Ovis aries: one gene and its partner. The protein of the gene in region 2 purifies or fractionates together with the protein of the main gene of each other region. This does not show direct contact. Links are inferred from orthologs where the notes say so. Each region holds a gene or a part of one and is shown on either strand. Other genes may lie near its edges.

Region 1 (2,976 bases), on a different chromosome or scaffold from region 2:
GGTGGTAGTGACAATAATTGTAGTGGGGCTGGGCTCCTGCCACATTGATTCAAATACACAGAATCCTGTCCTGAGGGCTAGACGTCTCTCCCGACATGAGACTCAAGTTCTGAGACTCACCTTGTTTTTCCTTGTGTTTGCAGGTGGCATTGGAAGGCCTTCGGCCTACCATCCCACCAGGCATTTCCCCCCACGTTTGTAAACTCATGAAGATCTGCATGAATGAAGACCCTGCTAAGCGGCCCAAGTTTGACATGATCGTGCCTATCCTGGAGAAGATGCAGGACAAGTAGAGCTGGAAAGTCCTTATCTGAACTCCAGAGGTGTCAGGACACGGTTAGGGGAGTGCACCTCCCCAAAGCAGTAGGCCTCTGGTTGCCTCCCCTGCCACTAGTCATGGTACTACCCCAGCCATGGGGCCCATCCCCTGCCCCCATCCCTACCACTGTGGCCCCAAAAGGGAATGGGCTCAAAGCTTTGTCACTTGCCACACGGTGTCTCCCAGCATGGGAGGGATCAGCCCTGCCTGTCACAATAAAGTTTATTATGAAAACAGGCTGGTGTGGGGACAAGAGAACAGACAAGTACATTTAGACTGGGTGGCTCAGGTGAAGTAGTGCGGCTTCTTCACATTGATGCCATACTCGCTGAGGGCAGGGGTCAAGTCCTCCATGGTTAGAGTGTACTTGCGGTCCTGAGGGAAGAGGGAAGAGCACCAGCTGAACACAGGAATTCCAGATTTCAATCCCAGGCAGGTGACCCTGAGTAGGTCTTTCACCTCCCCTAAGGCTTAATTTCCCTCAAAGGGGTTTCAGGATAATTTAAGCCTCTGCTGCTGTAGGAAGTAATTACTGAATCAATGAGCCTCCCCTCACACCTTGCTCTTGCTTCGGGAGCTGCCAGAGGCTGTGCCCTTCATTTTGCAGTGCTGTAGGGCATCGTTGGCAATATCTGAGATGAATTTCTGGGCAGCTAGGGAGATGAGCCGAATTCTGGAGAGAAAAAAATGGTATGAGAAGAGCATAGACAATAAACTCCACACAAACACCCAACACTCTAACCTGCCCAGAGTTTACTCACATGCGTGGGTCGGAGGCCTCAAAGCCAGCACGGTTCAGGTAGTAACCAGTCACTGCATCAGGGATCTGAGAAATCAATTAGACGACTGTAAGCGTTAGCCCTGTGTACAGCGGGGCTGAGAGTCGGGGTAAGGGAAATGGAGGGCAGGCCTGGCTATCAGGAAGCTCCCAGTTTGGGTGGGCAGAAGGGAAAAATCACAAAAGCTAGGAAGAGAAACACAAGAGGATGCTGCAAATCCAGATGGTGTGGCAGAAGTTGGCGTGACAGCGAGTCATTAGCCTTGTTCAGGCAGGAAGCCCACCGTAGGCGTGTAATCCTCCAGCTGCATCAGGAAGTCCACTAGAGGCGTGCTGGACACCACTGGCTTCACCTCTCCGTTGGCCGCGCTTGGCAGCACGTAAACCCCGTTAGACATGGCCCCCTCCGGGGGCGCCGCGCCGCCGGTCGTCACTGGAGCTGGAGGAAAACCAGCAAACTGAGACACGGAGGTGGGAGGCTCGAGGGTTCCGCTAGGTGTGTCTTACCCTCTGCCCTCACCCGCCGCTGGGCCCAGCCCAAAGCGCGGCCCTCGCCCTCACCCGTCCCGGCCCTCACCCGCCCCGCGCCGCTCGGCAGGCTCCCCGGCCCGCGCCGCCACGGCTCCAGTGCCCCCTGCCGCGGCTCCAGCCCCAGGCCCCCCTGACGTCCCCGCGGGGCTGGCCTTGTTCTCCGCGGCGGTGCCGGCGGGCAGCGCGGCGGGGGCCGAGACCGCGGGCGCCGGGCCCGGGGCCGAGGCGGCGGAGGCCGGCGCCGCCTCGGGGTCCGCGCCGGAGCCGCTGCAGCTCATCGGGCCGGTGGGAGAGGCGGCGAACAGAGCCGCTTCCGCTTCCGTTCACCTTACGCACACACCAGGGGTGACGTCACGCGCCCCACGACTCGTTCCTCCCACGCCACGTTCGCTCCTCCCTTAGGCCTCCTTCCTTTATTCCCCGCCCATCCAGCCGCTACCTGACAAAGGCGGGAGGGCGGAGACCAAGTGTTGCGGAACTGGGCTGGCGCGGACATTTCGCGTCCGGACCCGCGGTTCTCCAGTGTGGATCCGCTGGGATGGGAACCCCTCAATGTCGAGGATTCTCTTCTATGGGCTTGAGGCCCCCTCACCCAGCCTGACGTCTAAAATTCTTGCTTTGATGCTCATCGCCCCGACACCTCTCTACTGTTGGTCGCCTGCGTGTCTGCATCTTTTCTAAGTTCCTTTATCCAGCCTTTTAAGGGTTTGTAGTGGAGTTGAATAGCCTCTTTCCCCGCCAGCTGCCCAAAGTGAAGGTAACCGGACAGCTGACACAGTGCTGCTGCAGATGGGGAGAGAGGTACAGTCCACCGTCCGTATAGGTGGTGAAGGGTTGGTAGGATTGGTTCCGGGACTCCCCCGACTCCCGTCCCCAACCCATGTATACCAAAATCCGTGGATGCTCAAGTCCGTTATATGAAATGGCATAGTATTTGCACTGTATACTCTATATAATCTCTAGATTGCTTATAATATCCAATGCGATGTGAATAGTTTACTGGTGCATGGTAAATTCAAGTTTCGTCTTTTATAATTGGAATTAAAAAATATATATATCTTCAGTTCACGGTTGGGTGAATCTGTGGATGGAGAACCCGAGGATACAGAGGGATGGCTGTCTTTCAGTCTTAATAAACAATTTATGTAAAATCACGGCTAGTGAAAGAGTGGGGTTTTCAACACAGCAAAAATTTATTTTTGTCAGTCCTGAGCTAGGGTCTGCAAATACAGAGTTAAGTAGGAGAAGGTTCTACTCCTCCGGGCACCAGTGGTCTTGCAAAGGGAGGCATTAACAGTTAAACTTGCCATTTCACCAATATATGGGAGTTAAAATACTGGAGGTAGAC
Region 2 (3,746 bases):
GAGAGGAAGTGGGGGTGATAGAAGGATCACAGGCCCTCCCTCGATTCCCCTGCCCCTCCACCTCCACCCTCCAGCAACAAGTCCCAGAAGACATAGTTAGAATCACTCCCATTGTTCCACCCCACTTACCATTTTTGTGTTTTAAAGACTTGGATCTTCGAGGGGAATTGGGGTTCTGGAATGGGAGATACCATAGCTTTGGGGAAAGGGTAACGATAAGGGGGAGCCGAGAACCCAGGGAAGGAAAAAAGATTTGACAAACATCCTCAAATTTCTACTCTTTCCCACCAGTAAGAGGCCTTTCACCCATACTCCCTCCTCCCACCTACCCCCCAGGCCTCTGCTGCCCTCCTGCCCACCAGACACCCTCGGCCCTGAACCCAGAGAGGTACCCAGTGACCTCAGACTTGAGTCAAGACACCCGAGGACTCCCTGCCCAAAGGGGAGGGTATCTGTCCTTGGCCCAAATCTCCCTCATGCTTGCCCCGGCTCTTACCTTGTCTGATTTTCTCTTCTTGGCTGTGTAGGACAAAAGGGTAAAGGGCAGGGTCACTTTAAGTTCCCAATCTAAGAGCACCTAAAGAAAAGTTACAAAGCTACACTCTCCTCCCTCATTAGGGATAACAACTTGTGACTGTTACACACTCAATTCCTGCCTGCCTGCCTCACCCCGATGGCCCTCCCAATTCCCCAGATGCCCAAACACCTTTCTTCTCTGAGCCATAGGACCAGTCGTTGTCATTGATGTCATCATTATCCTCTTGGTCACTCTCTGACTTGTTCATGTTGTTGCTATTGGCAATCCTGCCGAGGGGAGGGAAGAGGAAGGGTCAAGGCTGCCATCTCTCTCTGCCCGACTTCACACGTAGAGGGGAGCATCTGGGGCCAGGCGCGACCCACCCTCTATACCCTCCAAATGTCCCAGGGGGTGGTGGGGAACTCCACCATGGGATGGGCTGCAAAAGATGGGCACTCTGGTTCTAGCAGAAGAAGCCCTCACCGGCGGTTGGCGATTCGGCTGCTGTTCCGACCCATTCCTAGGCACTTCTCCAGGTGGGGAGCAAAACGGGAGGCGGCAATGCTTCGGCTGCAATTGGGGCAAACACACTCCTTGCTCTTCCACTGGTTGAAAACCTGTCCAAAGATGTCCAAACCCGGCTGGTCCACGATCTCTGGGGACAGGAGAGACGTAGCGATCAGGGCAGGCAAGGGGCCCTTACCTCTCGTTCCCACCCATGGCCCTGTGGCCTCTTCAGAGCCCCTGCCTAAGCTCCCAGGAGCTCTAGGTTCTACCTCTGGTGTGGTTGCTGGAGAAGGACCCTCCAAGCACTCCCAGGGAAGGGCTAGGCTGCTCTCCTTCAACCCTGACGCTCACCAAAATCCTTCATGCTCTCAGGGTCCGTGTCGTCCAGGAAGAAGTAGCCACACTTGACAGCCCGGTGTACCTCAAAGCAGAATCCCAAACAAGAATCCTCAACCAGGTCCGCGTATATCTCCTGAGCGATGGCCTGGGCCCAGGGGAGAACATCCAGGGTCACCAGAGTCACAGTCCCATGGACTGAGGGCAACTCTCACCAACCAAATCTCCTGCCAATTCGCCCTGGCCAAAAATAAAGCTTCCTTTGCCATTTTTTCCCATCTTGATTTTGAGTTCTTTCTTCTTCCGGATCCTTGGGCCTTCTTAGCTGGCTCTTCCCTTTAAGGAACAAGGCTGACTACCCAAATTCCTCTCTGGTGTGGATTCCAGATATAGCGAAGGACAGACATCAAGAGAAAGAACTGGAGGCACACGTGGGGGAGCCCTCACCTCTAGTTTGCTGTTATCCAGGCCAGACAAAGACATTTCCTCCATTTTCATTTGTGAACTCTTGTGGAGACGGTGCTCTGACTGCTCATAGCACAGCGGGCGGCAACACGGCTGCACACATGTGGGGGGGATGTTGGTGTGAGTCCAAGGCACCTCCGATGGCTGCCACCTCCCCTCCCCACCTCGCTGCCCAGAGCTTAATGGTGGCATCAAGATCTACCTCTCCCTAAGGCCTCGGTTAAGTCTGGATGGTCCTGCAGGGCCTGAAACCCAAGGGCGGCCTAGTCCTTCCCAGGCCTGAACTCAGGCCCTGGACTCTTACTGCCAATCAGAGTCTGGGTTTACAGGAGGCGGCAGCTCACCCCAGGTTCCCAAAACTCAAACCCCTCTTCCATACCCATGGTGCAATGCAGCAGGGGGAGGAGAAGGAACTCTAAGGCCTCAAAGCAAACCCACAGGGTGTGGCAAAGAACTGCACAGACTCCTAAATACACTCCCCCCCCTCCCCAGGCTCTCCTCAGAGTCACCTCTGCTTTCAGCCAGGATGTCCACTTGGGGGGGTACTGCTACCAGAAGTAGCAATGGCCCTAGGACCCTACAACCTTCACCCCACTCTGTCTTCCCTTGAAATAAGCCTGCCACTACAGACGGAGAGCAGAGCCCACAGAAACCTAGAGCTAAAAGGCCATCCTAGCCACCATGAGCAAGAAAAAGGAGGTAGAATCCGGTGGGATGGCATGCCAGGAGTGGGCACTCCCCTTACCTGTTCTTCTTTGAGATAACCACCCTCCCTCCCTCAGGACCAGCCCGGAAGTCTCTCCAAGAGCCCCAAAGTCCAGGAATCCCCACCAAAGGATTCAGAAACAGAGCACACAGTCCGGGGCCCCTCTGAACGGTGGGTACGAGTTTAAGGAGCTGCCGGCCTAGAGTGGGGTGGGGACTGACAAATGAGCCGGGGGCACTGGGGAGGGTAGGAGGCCGGGCCTCGGCTCTTCCCCCGTCCCTGCGGCACTGCTGCCGCATCATACCGACTGGGGGGAGGAGAGCCGAGCCGCCGGAGGCCGGCGCCGCTCCGGGACAGACCGACCCCTAGAGAGTGGGCAGAGTGGGACACGTCCCGGCCCCTCTTCTTCCCCGCCCGCCGACAGCCCCGGCCGGCCGGGGAGAGGAGTCCGGGAGGGTGTCTCTATTGTCCCGGGGGCTGGGGCCTGGCTCCCTAACAAAGGCCCCGCGCCCCCTCCCCGGCCGGCCCTGCCCCGCCCAGGGGGGACCCAGACAGGGGGAGAGCTGGGGGCCCCGGCCGGGCCGGGAAGCCGGGGGAAGCCGGGCGTTTCCGCGTCGGCCCTGGGGGAGGGGAAGGGGCGCTGACCCAGACCTGGGGGGAGGGGGCCCAAGCCCCGCCTCGGGCCCCGCCCCCCGCCCCCCACAGGCCCCTCCCCCGTCCCCGTCTCCGTCCCGTACTCACCCCGCCCGGGGGGCCGCGCCGGGGCCCGGCGGCCTCTCAGGGCCGCGTCCTCCGGCGGCGGCGGCGGCGGCGGCTGCTCCGGAGCCCCATGTCCGTCGGTCCGTCCTCGCCTCTCCCCGGGGCCCAGGGCCCGGGGCCGGGGGGTCGGGCCGCCCCCCCGCCTCGCCGCCTCACCGGGCGGCCATGGCCCCTTCCCCTCCCTTCTCGTCCCGTCGCCGCCTCCTCCTCCTCACCTCACCCCGCCCGCGCGCAGTCCGCGCGCCGTCCGCGCGCCCCTCCCCCCGCCCCCCACTCCAGCCCGCCTCTCCCGGGCGGGGGGTGCGGCGCGAGCCCGGAGCGCGCGCGCGTGCCGCGACCGGAGGATGGATGGATGGAGCGAGCGAGAACGCGAGCGTGCGCGCGCGCGCCCCTCTCCCCCTCCCTTCGCGCGGGCGCGAGGCCAAGCGCGAGCGCGCTCCAACCTCCTCCTCTTCC

The links.
Region 1: the proteins of ATXN7L3 (region 2) and TAF10 purify together in Homo sapiens (affinity purification with mass spectrometry; 7 studies listed by BioGRID and IntAct, with this or other methods). This does not show direct contact. The link is inferred for Ovis aries from reciprocal best matches to the Homo sapiens genes ATXN7L3 and TAF10.

The regions. Positions count from the first base shown.
Region 1 is NC_056068.1:46,195,912-46,198,887, reverse strand, and holds TAF10 (transcription initiation factor TFIID subunit 10), read right to left. Parts: upstream 1,932-2,976; 5' UTR 1,907-1,931; coding exon 1,675-1,906; intron 1,537-1,674; coding exon 1,382-1,536; intron 1,146-1,381; coding exon 1,081-1,145; intron 993-1,080; coding exon 878-992; intron 695-877; coding exon 605-694; 3' UTR 524-604; downstream 1-523. Other genes in the region: ILK (integrin-linked protein kinase), read left to right, coding at 144-293. UniProt on the Homo sapiens protein: The TFIID basal transcription factor complex plays a major role in the initiation of RNA polymerase II (Pol II)-dependent transcription.
Region 2 is NC_056064.1:43,751,267-43,755,012, forward strand, and holds the start of ATXN7L3 (ataxin-7-like protein 3), read right to left. Parts: upstream 2,270-3,746; 5' UTR 2,018-2,269; coding exon 1,808-2,017; intron 1,509-1,807; coding exon 1,376-1,508; intron 1,173-1,375; coding exon 1,001-1,172; intron 805-1,000; coding exon 707-804; intron 520-706; coding exon 497-519; intron 197-496; coding exon 130-196; intron 1-129. UniProt on the Homo sapiens protein: Component of the transcription regulatory histone acetylation (HAT) complex SAGA, a multiprotein complex that activates transcription by remodeling chromatin and mediating histone acetylation and deubiquitination.